Cricetulus griseus: one gene and its partners. Each later gene encodes a partner of the first gene's protein in a complex. Links are inferred from orthologs where the notes say so. Each region holds a gene or a part of one and is shown on either strand. Other genes may lie near its edges.

The links. Proteins that work in one complex are often made in the same cells at the same time.
Region 2: the proteins of Tuba1a (region 1) and CUNH9orf116 are in contact, whole or in part, in a cryo-EM structure (PDB 7UNG), measured with the Homo sapiens proteins. The link is inferred for Cricetulus griseus from reciprocal best matches to the Homo sapiens genes TUBA1A and PIERCE1. Residues at the interface, in NP_001257328.1 of Homo sapiens: Met1, Arg2, Gln15, Asn18, Ala19, Glu22, Cys25, Leu26, Glu27, His28, Gly29, Ile30, Gln31, Pro32, Asp33, Met36, Pro37, Asp39, Lys40, Asp46, Asp47, Ser48, Asn50, Glu77, Gly81, Thr82, Tyr83, Tyr224, Thr225, Asn228; in NP_001041730.1 of Homo sapiens: Tyr28, Pro35, Gly36, Arg37, Phe38, Trp43, Phe44, Arg45, Gly46, Tyr47, Arg48, Thr58, Ser59, Asn60, Gln61, Ala62, Tyr63, Gly64, Arg66, His71, Glu72, Pro74, Phe77, Tyr78, Pro79, Asn80, Ser81, Asn82, Lys83.
Region 3: the proteins of Tuba1a (region 1) and CUNH1orf194 are in contact, whole or in part, in a cryo-EM structure (PDB 7UNG), measured with the Homo sapiens proteins. The link is inferred for Cricetulus griseus from reciprocal best matches to the Homo sapiens genes TUBA1A and CFAP276. Residues at the interface, in NP_001257328.1 of Homo sapiens: Lys112, Glu113, Ile115, Asp116, Leu117, Leu119, Asp120, Arg123, Lys124, Asp127, Arg156, Ser158, Val159, Asp160, Gly162, Lys163, Leu195, Glu196, His197, Ser198, Asp199, Tyr262, Pro263, Arg264, Trp346, Lys430, Asp431, Glu434, Val435, Val437; in NP_001231954.1 of Homo sapiens: Pro43, Trp44, Arg46, Leu47, Asn48, Thr50, Pro51, Thr52, Ile53, Thr54, Ser55, Arg57, Arg58, Ala60, Tyr62, Asp64, Ile67, Pro68, Lys69, Asp70, Asp71, Phe74, Arg75, Lys90, Ser91, Leu94, Leu95, Asn96, Lys98, Thr99.

What each region holds. Positions count from the first base shown.
Region 1 is NC_048595.1:395,418,283-395,421,975, forward strand, and holds the start of Tuba1a (tubulin alpha-1A chain), read right to left. Parts: upstream 2,438-3,693; 5' UTR 2,341-2,437; coding exon 2,338-2,340; intron 1,053-2,337; exon of another isoform or gene 758-1,052; coding exon 535-757; exon of another isoform or gene 398-534; coding exon 249-397; exon of another isoform or gene 192-248; intron 1-191. UniProt on the Homo sapiens protein: Tubulin is the major constituent of microtubules, a cylinder consisting of laterally associated linear protofilaments composed of alpha- and beta-tubulin heterodimers.
Region 2 is NC_048599.1:140,160,040-140,163,732, reverse strand, and holds the start of CUNH9orf116 (UPF0691 protein C9orf116 homolog), read left to right. Parts: upstream 1-1,518; 5' UTR 1,519-1,535; intron 1,536-1,621; exon of another isoform or gene 1,622-1,622; coding exon of another isoform or gene 1,623-1,665; exon of another isoform or gene 1,666-1,917; intron 1,918-2,897; 5' UTR 2,898-2,993; intron 2,994-3,119; 5' UTR 3,120-3,273; coding exon 3,274-3,416; intron 3,417-3,693. Other genes in the region: Mrps2 (28S ribosomal protein S2, mitochondrial), read right to left, coding at 1-293, 814-943, 1,372-1,518, 1,623-1,665. UniProt on the Homo sapiens protein: Microtubule inner protein involved in the attachment of outer dynein arms (ODAs) to dynein-decorated doublet microtubules (DMTs) in cilia axoneme, which is required for motile cilia beating.
Region 3 is NW_023276806.1:48,577,818-48,581,510, forward strand, and holds the start of CUNH1orf194 (protein C1orf194 homolog), read right to left. Parts: upstream 2,672-3,693; 5' UTR 2,574-2,671; coding exon 2,493-2,573; intron 1-2,492. UniProt on the Homo sapiens protein: Microtubule inner protein (MIP) part of the dynein-decorated doublet microtubules (DMTs) in cilia axoneme, which is required for motile cilia beating. May play an important role for the maintenance of myelin-axon integrity.

The DNA of each region.
Region 1 (3,693 bases):
AAAAAAGAACAGGCATTGTTTATCAACAGGGCATACTCTCAGCACTGCTTGCAATTCCTCAAGATGGCAAACCACATTTACTTGAAAGGAAAAAATTGTGAATTGGTATTAAAAATGATCTCATGACCCATAGACCACATGTACAAGTCTACTTAATTAATGTAGTGAACAGACTTTACTTATTTTGGCAGGTCCCAACACTCCCCCACACTGCATTTTAAATGAACCCATCCATCTATGGTATTTACCAGCTTGCGAATTCTGTCCAAGACAAGATCAATGATCTCCTTGCCGATGGTGTAGTGGCCACGGGCATAGTTATTGGCAGCATCTTCCTTGCCTGTGATGAGCTGCTCAGGGTGGAAGAGCTGGCGGTAGGTACCAGTGCGAACTTCATCTGGAAAAGGAGATGAAATCAACCATTCACAACAGTAACTGACACACACAAGCTCACTCACTCTTCGGCGGTGTGTGGAGAGGTTCTGAGTATGTGACCAGGACAGAATGCCTCAGGGAAACCCCTGGCCCACTTACCGATGACTGTGGGTTCCAGGTCTACGAACACGGCCCGGGGCACATGCTTGCCAGCGCCTGTCTCACTGAAGAAGGTGTTGAAGGAGTCATCTCCTCCCCCGATGGTCTTGTCACTTGGCATCTGGCCGTCAGGCTGGATGCCATGTTCCAGGCAGTAGAGCTCCCAGCAGGCATTGCCGATCTGGACACCAGCCTGGCCAACGTGGATGGAGATGCACTCACGCTGTGGAAAAGGGGGAAAAATTATGAAATTAAGCTGTATTTCTATTTTAGATTTTAATAGATTTCTAAAGTGTTTCTAATAACACAAATATTGTTGAAATTTATTTGGAGTCATATCCCTCATATGACAGAAACAATAATGAGTACCTGATACAAATACTGCAAAGGGGTGTGGTCTGAATAATGTCACCTTAATACTAAGACTTGGTGCAAACCCATTGTTCTCACAGCCATACTTAAATAGAAGAGTTTTCATGTTCGAAAAATACTTAATACACTGATACTGTAAAGTGAAATAATTGTCTGGAATTATTTTAATTGCTTCTTTTCCTGATAAGTAAAGATGAATGCTTCATCTTTTGTGATCTGGTATTTCAACATGGACATCAGTACTGCGGCTGCGGGCAGGAGCCACACCCTTCTGCAGAACTCATCAGCACTAGACAAAGTGTGACTTCTGCATTGCTGTGTCTGCTGTGCCTGGTGCTAGCCTGTGCCCTTTGTTACATTATTTAACAGAGAAAGCTCTATTTCCAGCAGCTGTCTATACGATCCCCTCGCTGCTTTCAGTTTCCTAACCCTCTTAACCCTGTCTGGGCCATTTGCCTGAAATAATGAATTAGTGAAGATGTATTAGAACAAAAGACAGTTGGATACGGAGTATAATTTTTTTCCTTGCAGCAGTTTCATTAGATAATGAAGATTTTCCAGAATCTTTTCCACTATATAGAAGCAAAATATTCTTAAAGCTAAGTTAGAAACAAGGGCCAACAATAAAAACCGAGTAAAAAGATAACATTTAAAACTAGAAAATGGTATTTTATTCGATGAATCTTTACATACCACATAATATATTAGTATTATTTATTCTATAGAGATAGTTTTCTATTGTCTTTAAAGCTACAACTTTCATTGTCTGCGGGGGTGGGGGGTGGGGAAGGGCGTTTCCCTGGGTTCTGACAATCAGGGTAGTCGAGGCAACCTCACCAACTATCCAGCCCCTCTCTCCCCAGCGAGATGTCCTGGTGTTAAGTAAATCGTACTTTTGACACTCAAGCAAACAAAACCTCTTGTAAGATTACAGTTCCACAGCAATTTTTTAAAAATAAAAATACAAAAACCACTCCCGAGGGAAGTTTAGAGAGGGCGAACCCCTCCCAAAACGCCACGGAAGCAAGAGACAAACAACCCCGCCCCTGCGCCTCCCTGACACCGGCTGCCATGGATCCGACGCAAACTAACCATTTTCCCATAGAAGTGGGGCGGCGTTTCTGGAGTGAGGGCTCGGCCGCCGCCCTGCTCGCCCGCCGCAGCGCACCCCTCTAGCCGTGAACCCCCGCCCTGACGGCCCAGGCTGTGCGAGCAAACACTCGCAGGAGCCTTTGTTCTTCCCCGGGTCTGGGCGTTTCCCTGCCCCGCACTGCGGCTGCGGGATTTACGGACTCCGCGCAAAGCTCAACTTAACAAAGCATTGAGACCACCCTTCCCCGCAGGGGTGACAAAGACTTAGGCTTTCCCTTGAAGATCTCGGGAGACTGATTCCACCCAGTTACGGAGGACCAGGGAAGAAGGCTGGCTCACCATGGTTGCTGCTTTGCGGCTGCCCGGAGGTTGGCGGAGGCGAGGAGGAGGTGTTGCTTCTTACAGCGCGACTCTTAGGCGGTCGATGTAAGAGAACCTGCGGCACATGGGCGGATGCGGCTCCTTATATACAGCTCGGTCACCATGGGGATGGGCCACGGCCTTTTCCTGTTGGTCCAGACCCCTCCGTCTGCCCAGAGAAGCCGCGACAGGAGAGTGGTGATTGGTGCAAGCGACATGGTATGAGGTAATCTCTCCCCCACCCCTTCCCCCTAGCATCCGTAGACTTTGCATCCTCAGACAAAGGCTGAGCAAATGCAACTAGCGGAGCATCCATTATGGGGTGGGGCTGGGGAGGGGAGGGGAGGGGAGGGAAGGGAAGAAAGAAAATCGGGGCTGGGTGATTATACATGACTTAAACCTTAAACTATAGTTAAAATAATCCAAGGTTTTCCCCTACACTTAATCACAGACTTTATGGTTTTTTTTTTTTAATAGAAAATTCCAGCATTTCATACACAGTACACTAAATTTGACCATATTCCCTCAGGATCCAAAGTCTTTAATTGCTTTTAAAAAACCAGCAGAGATAGAAATGATGGTCCAAACGGCTTGGGTAAATGCCGATGTTTACAGTTATTGTTACTGTTGTTTGAACAAGATTCAGAAGCCCACTAAGAATAGGCCAGCATCGTAATCTAAACTGCAGCTGGGGTTCAGAGGCAGGAAGATCTGCAGTTCAAGGTCACCCTAACTGGCACGTAAATCCCAACCTTGGAGGAGCTGAGGCTGGAGGATTACAGCTGGTTTGAGGCCAGCGTGGATTATAGTGTGTGATCATGTCACAAAAAAGCAAAAGAGAACGAACTAAAGAGAAATAATATACAAAACAGAATTTATAGTTCACCATAGAGCTAGCTTTGTTTACGGACAGCACTCCCTACCACCCCTCCACACCCACTCCCCTCCCCCGAGCCTGTGCTATTTTATCTGTAGAAATGAGCTATCCTTTCCAATACAGGGTTCCGAAACTATAAGGAGAAAGAATTGAGTTTTAAAACTAGCTCTTTCTTTGCGTGGGCTTATATTTCTGCATTGCTCTTCTTTGGGGAGGGGTGATATCAAGTAAAACATGACTGAGATACCAAATTTTTAAAAACAGAGAAGAGTTATATAATATAAAAGGAAACCATTTTGTAATGTTGCTTTCATCCCAGACAACTGTGCAATGTCAGCCCGTCTGCAGTTCATTTTACGTAGTTCCCTAAATTCTGTAAATAGCCCCTTCTGCAGTTGGGCTTCTAACTGTGGGAACAGTAGCTCCTCACACCACTGCTATTCAGCTAGAGTCTGTGG
Region 2 (3,693 bases), on another chromosome or scaffold:
TGTGCATGAAGATGATGAGGTCTGGCAGGCGGACCGTGGGCCCAAAGAGGAGTTGTGCATTAGTCAGTAAACCACCCTTGAAGTAGCGGGTGTGAGCATACTCTCCGCAGTCCCGGGCTGTATTCTCAATCAAGTGACAGAACTGTCGGTTCCTGCTCACAAACAGGATGATGCCCTTGCGGTAGGCCACATGAGCCGTGAAGTTCAAGGCCAACTGTAGATTCAAGGCTGTCTGCTCCAGGTCGATGATATCTTGGCCCAGGCGGTTACCAAAGATGTATGGCTCCATAAACCTGCCAAAAAAAAAAAAACCAAGTAAAATGGAACAGTGTTCACAGAGCTACCCTTCCCTTTCCACAGACCCCTACCAGCAATTCGAATGAGGGCACTGCAGACTTCGAGGCACTTTTACTTCACCTGTTTCCCTCTACATCTTGTCTAGTGAATGGCAGGATGGGGGACACAGTGTTGTGGAGTTGAGCAGCTAGCACCAGGTGTGTGTCCCAACCTGTCCTTTCCCCCATGGAGATTTGAAGGCCAACTGCACATTAAACACGAACGCAGGCAAGGTACTCTTGTCTAGTATTGCTCTCAATGGCCTCTGGCCTCTTCAGTTCTATATAGCAGGACCTCTTTACTCGGGTGGCCAAAATTCAGGGGTCCCCAGCATGTAATGACCCTCAGTTTTCACTACGTTTATGAACAGCATCAGTACTAGCACTGCACTTGATGGTACTGTTAATGCTCCAATCAGCGCCACTTCCAACCTTGACCTGATCCCACCACTCTGCCCACACTGCCTGTGCCAGTTACCTATGTCGACAACCGGCTTTATGGCCCAGGTGTACTCGGGCCTCGAAGAGGCTCTTTACAGAAAACAGTTCCTTGACATTGAAGAAGTCCGAATGCTGCAGTGGCACATCTAGAATCCTGCTCTGGAGATCTGAAAAGGGAAGAAGAGAAGACACCGTGGCACACCACCACCAACCAAAGGCTCACGAGTCTCCTGGGAGTGGGGACCTCAAGGCTGAGGAGGAGAAATGCTGGGAAAGATCTGGAAGACAAGGGGCTATATGGTGCTGAAGGGCTAGAGCCAAAGTCTGAGGTGGACTCTCTGTGGGGAAAGCCTGTCACTTCTCTCCTCTTAGTCTCCATGGAGAAAGAGACCGGGGCCTCCTCAACTTCTGGCGCCTCAAATGGCCCGCAAGGAGACCGGCAAGGTGGATAGATTCCAAACTGGTCTTCACTGGTCTCGGGAGCTACTGGGACACGGTGGAGGGAGGGGGCATTCTCCCTCCCACCCCACTTAATGCGATTAGCACAGGGTTCATTCGGGGATCCCGCAATGACAACCCCTCCACGATTCTGCACCTCGGTCCTGCCCCAGCCGCTGGTCTTTACCGTCGCCATCCTGAGGCTCGCTGACCATGGGGACTTGGGCTCCCGTCACCATCCTACCATTCAGCCCCGCTGGGCCCGGGGTCGCCTTCTGCAGGAAACCTGGCCAGCGCCACACACCTGCGGGGAGAGAGCCGGTGAGGCCGCGCCCTGTCCACGTCCCTGCCCTCTTCTCTCGGATCCCAGGGTCCCTCCCGTCTCGGGGCGGGGGGTTCCAAGCTCACCTGCACACCGCAGCCGGGTGAGGACAGCCGGAGCGGGAGCCATGGCTGGCGCGTGGAAGGAGATGCCGCAGAGACGCTTCCTGCCGAGCAGAGCGCCTCCTCCGCCGAGTGCGTGAGGCCGCAGCGCCGCCTGCAGGTCCGGAGGACCGCTGCCGGCTCCCGCTGCGAGCGACCCTGTAGGAGGGATTCCGCCCGAGAGAATCTCTCTGCTGAGGCTGGCGATCAGTGCAGGGCTGGAAGGTGGGAGGGACTGAACCAGGACGAGAGGGTTCTCATCTACTGCTCGTTCCTCCCGGTAAAATTACAGCGTCCTCTCAGAACCGGTTAGAAGGAGGCGACCCTCTGGTTTAAAATGGCTTTTGTTTGTTTTTCTGAGACAGGGTTTCTCTGTGAAGCCTTGGCTATCCTGGAGCTCTCTGTAGACCAGGCTAGACCAGGCTGGGCTGGAATGGCTGGCCTTGAATGGCTGGTCCACCTCCCTCTGGCTCCCGAGTGCTTGCACCACCACGGCCTGTCTTATTGTTTGCTTTTTAATTGCTTTTTTTAAATTTGAAATTTGTTTTAGATGTATATATTTTGTGGATGAATATTTTGCCTACATGTGCACCCTATGAGTGCCCGGTGCCCGTGGAGATTGTAAGAAAGAGTTAAGGATGTTTGTGAGTCACCTTGTAGGTGCTGGGAGTTGAACCTAGGTTCCCAGTAAGAGCAATAAATGCCCGTAACCACTGAGCCATCTCACCAGCCCCCAAATTACTTTAAAGAATGAAGACAACACTAACCTAAGTTTTCCTGACTGGCCTGGCACTCACAGAGATCTGCCTGTCTCTGTCTCCAAGTGCTGGAATTATTGGTGTGCACCACCACACTATCCCCCGTGTGACTTTTATTGTTTGTTTTAAATTATTTATTATTTATTATTATTATTATTATTTATTATTATTGAGACAGGGTCTCATTATGTACCCTTGGCTGACCTAGAACTCTGTGTAGATCAGTCTGGCCTCTAACTCAAGATTTGCTTTCTGGCATTGCACTAGCAATGAACATGCACTGTTCACAAGATAATTTTTTTATATTTCAATAGTATTCGGCCTGGGAAGATTTCCTAAATTTAGCAACATCTCGGATCTAAACTTAGGCTGAATTGTGGGGAGCGAGGGGTAACAGAGGCTAAGGAGAAGTCCTGGCAAGAATAGTAAACTGCAGACCAGTGCGTGCTTGCTCAGGTAGAGATTGGAAGCATCTAATAATTCCTGTATGTTTTTTGTTAAGTCCCAGGTCCTAAGGTTTCATTTGCCCAGGATATTATCCCTACTGCCTTTTGGGATGATACCAGGATGTTCCCAACAGTTCCAGAAAAAGGCCAGCGTAAGTCCCAGAAAAAGGCCAGCGTAACTCCCAGAGGGGCTGCTGTCAGAAAGCTTGGGATTCCTTAGCGCGACAGTCCTAGCTTAGAATTCCTCACTGTTCCCTTTGTTATTCGCCCTCTGAAAGATTCTAGACTTGCCTATAGCTCCAGTGGCAAGCAACCTACAAAGGACCGCCCCTCCTTCCGGCCAGGCGACATAGTTGCCTAGTAACAAGACGCCCTGATGCGGCAGCCGCAGCTTTGACTACTAGTCTGAGGCTACTTTCCTGTGGAGGTCAAATGTCGGAAGAAAACCCCCAAGAGTGCACGGAGCTGGTGGAGCCCAAGGCTAAGCCTGCCCCAGAGAAGACGAGCGATTACTACTCCGTGAGCGAGCAGCTCCCAGTCAGGTTCAACAACCCGGGGTGGTTTCGTGGCTACAGGTGAGGAAAACTGAGGTTACCTCTTCCAGGAGGTGCCCTCGGTGGCCCTAGCTTGTGTGTGAAAACTCCAAATTGCCTGGCTGCTGAGGTTAAAAGAAGCCAGAGGCGGACCCTGTACCTTGTGTCATCATTACTACCAGGGTCTTGGACCTGCTGTCTGAGTAACCGTGAAAGTGAGTGCGTGTGCTCGTGAGCTTGTGTGTGTGTGTGTGTGTGTGTGTGTGTGTGTTCGCTTTTGAGGCTTCCCTTGTAAATGATGGAAGCCTTCTTGGCTTCT
Region 3 (3,693 bases), on another chromosome or scaffold:
CCTGCTGATGCAGCATGGGTCACGTTCATCACCTTGCTCCATCTGAGGCCCTGCTGATGCAGCATGGGTCACGTTCATCACCGTGCTCCTTCTGAGGCCCTGCTGATGCAGCATGGGTCACGTTCATCACCTTGCTCCTTCTGAGGCCCTGCTGATGCAGCATGGGTCACGTTCATCACCGTGCTCCTTCTGAGGCCCTGCTGATGCAGCATGGGTCACGTTCATCACCGTGCTCCATCTGAGGCCCTGCTGATGCAGCATGGGTCACGTTCATCACCGTGCTCCATCTGAGGCCCTGCTGATGCAGCATGGGTCACGTTCATCACCGTGCTCCCTCTGAGGCCCTGCTGATGCAGCATGGGTCACGTTCATCACCTTGCTCCATCTGAGGCCCTGCTGATGCAGCATGGGTCACGTTCATCACCTTGCTCCATCTGAGGCCCTGCTGATGCAGCATGGGTCACGTTCATCACCTTGCTCCTTCTGAGGCCCTGCTGATGCAGCATGGGTCACGTTCATCACCGTGCTCCTTCTGAGGCCCTGCTGATGCAGCATGGGTCATGTTCATCACCTTGCTCCATCCCATTTTACTTGAATCTCAGGACAGCTACAAAGAGATGAGCGATCACAGGGGCAAGACTCCCTAAGCCTTCTGAGTGAGAAATGATTGAAATGGGCCAGGAAAATAGAAGAAACTGATGGATCAAGATGCTGGGAGTGGGCTCAGCAAACAGATCCGAAAGACGGTATGTTCATACTTAGAAGTCCAAGTTTGGAGAAAAGATGAAAGTTCTAATTAACAGAAAACTGGAAGTGTATGGCTTGCTGGAGAGCTGGAAATAGACAAGATAAATCAAGTGGTCCACATACTAGTAGTTGAATTCTGTGGAAAAAGCCTGACCAAAAGGATCTACTAGGACAATATTTTTACCGAGGCAGGGAGGGTCCCATAGAGGCAATGGGAGACAAAGTCAGAAAGGGTTGTGTCTAGGTTAAAAATAAAGATTATCCAAGAAAGGATAAGTCGCCCAGCAGTGGTTGCACATGCCTTTAATCCAGCACTCGGGAGGAAGAGGTAGGTGGATTTCTGTGAGTTTGAGGTCAGCCTGGTTTACAAAGCTGGTTCCAGGACAGGCTCCAAAGCTACAGAGAAACCCTGTCTCGAACAACCAAAAAAAAAAAAAAAAAAAAAAAAGAAAAAAGAAAAAAGAAAAAAAAAGTCATGGAAAGGAATGTCAGAAAGGGCTCAATGGACACTGGGTTCTATAAACACTACAGACATAAGAGAAAAACACAAGGTTGGTTTTCCTTGTATTTGAAATTGGCCATTTTCACCACTGTATCCTCAGTACCAAGCATGTTGACTTTACATTCACATAAAAACTAAGCTCTGATCAAACCAATGACTGACTCGAGTAAGCACTAGCATCTAGCCTCTTCTCCCTTCATGTAGCAAAGTACTGTGTGACTCAACTCAGTTAAATCTTAGTTGGACAGTAGGATCAGGCAAATAAGTAAACACAGTTCAAACACAGGCTCAGCTACCCCTGCCGTGGCCCTCAGCAGCTGTGCCACTTTTTTCAAGGGCCATACAAGGCTTGCCATCTCCTTTATTGGCACAACCAGATTGCGTTCCACTAAGGTAGCAGAGGCAGGTGGATCTTTATGAGTTCGAGGCCAGCCTGGTCTACAGTATGAGTTCCAGGACAGCCAGGGCTACACAGAGAAACCTTGAAAAAATAAAAAACAAAAAAAATAAAAGAAAACCAACTGTCAATTACTAGGGCCAGCCTTCAGACCTATCTTTGTTCACAGGGAGAAGTCCTTCACTCAGAAGGACGCTTCTCTGATCCAGCCCTTCCCTGTTCTTTGGATCTGTACCATTCCCCAAACCCTCATCTGGCCCCATTATCTCAACTATCCTTTTCTCAAGGTATGTCTGCCACTGTCACCTTTTCCACAGAACCATGCTTCTTCAAGGGTCAGCAATTACTGTCTCCCCTTCTTCACCCTTCATGTCTCCAACTCTTTGTAGTCTGGCCTTTCTTCCAGTGCCCACTGAAACTGTCCTGGCTGTGGAGCCATGATCTCTGTGGCTACTAGAAGGATCTTTCCCAACCCTGACCTTCTTTGATTCTACAAATACTTTTCCATCTTATGAGGCCAACTCCTGGTTTAACTTTGGTCTCTGTCTATTATACCTTCCTTCTCAGCTTAGCCTTCTGCTTCTGGGAGTGTTCCTTCTTGTTTTATTCTTATATTTACAGGAAAGGCTGCTTTTCTACCACAATTTCAAACAGCAAGCCAAACCTGTAGCTCCCAAACATACATAAAATACATACATACACTTCTGAAACGTTAGCGGACCCGAATAGCAGGCCAAGGAGACAGACAGAAAGCAGATTTCTCTGGTACTCGGTGGTCTCACCAGAGTTAGGTTATTAGGAGTCTGCTGGAGACCCCACTGGGAATTTGCTGAGGAAACTCAGTACCTTAGAAGCCCGCAGATTCCCCAAGTGTATGTCTTCTTCACTTAACGCAGGGTGAGGGTAAGATTCCGGAGTGTGAGGCATGCTTAAAGGCCCAAAGGCGCAGGCTTATTCTCAAGAGATTAGCGCAGTCGCAGCACGACCTGGCTTCTAGAGGATCCCAGGTCCCAATTGTTTGGAACGCCCAGTTTTTGGTTGCCAGGCAACTACCCCTGCGTTTATGACAGAGATGAATTCCCTTCGAGAGATGCGCCACCTGGCGGTTCAACTCAGAAGGCTCCTTGGGAGGAGGCTGTTGTGAATACCGAGGAAAGGAGACCTAGATAGGCACTCTGGAGCCTCAGCTGGAAAACGCTGGCCTCCCATAGCACGGGAGTTCTGTAAAAGACGAAAGAAGTCCGTAGGGTGATCCACAGGTTTCCTTTTCCCCCTCACCTATTTCCCCATTTTCAAAACAATGAGAGTACGAGAATGTAAAAACAAAAAAACAAAAAACAAAAACAAAAAACCCCCGAAGATCTCACGTGTACTGATTGAAAAACTGTCGATTAGGTCACTCCCCTTGTTGTTTAACTATGCGGACGCCAGGGTTACTCATCAGCCCGGCTGTAAAAACATGGATGGATTTAGCCGGTGGAAGGATGGAAGTAGCTTTTGCAGTTAGTGCTGGGGCCACTCTAGGAGACGATCCCTGGAAGGTAGCGATAACGTCTGTCTTCCCTTTATCATTTCACATGCCACGTTTACAAAATAAGATGCTTAGAAATAACCCCTGGCTGAGAAGAGCAATAGGGGTGAAATGTACTGCTGCGGATGATTTGGAGGGTTCTTCTACCGAGTGCTTTACGTAAGCCTGTTGGGTTAGGTGCAAACCCTGGCGCGCGCACTCCTACGCCGCGCGCCAGCGGTGGCGGCTACCATGGAGACCAGCAGGTGAGCGGCAGAGGCGCGCGTGGTCCCTGCCCCACCCGCGCTGAGCGAAGAGGATGCGGTTGTCAAGGCGACGTGGATAGGAGGAGGAGAGGACCGAGGGAGGAGGAAGGATGGGCGGCCTTGGCGTAGCCGCAGGGAGGTGACTGAAGCGAGTCCAGCCCCTTGCATCCTCCCCCTGTGTACCTCCCTCCTCTTTTTTTTTCCTCCTTCTGCCAGCATAAGCAGCCACCGCAGCACCTGAGCCGCTACTGCCGCTGGCTCAGGACAGCGC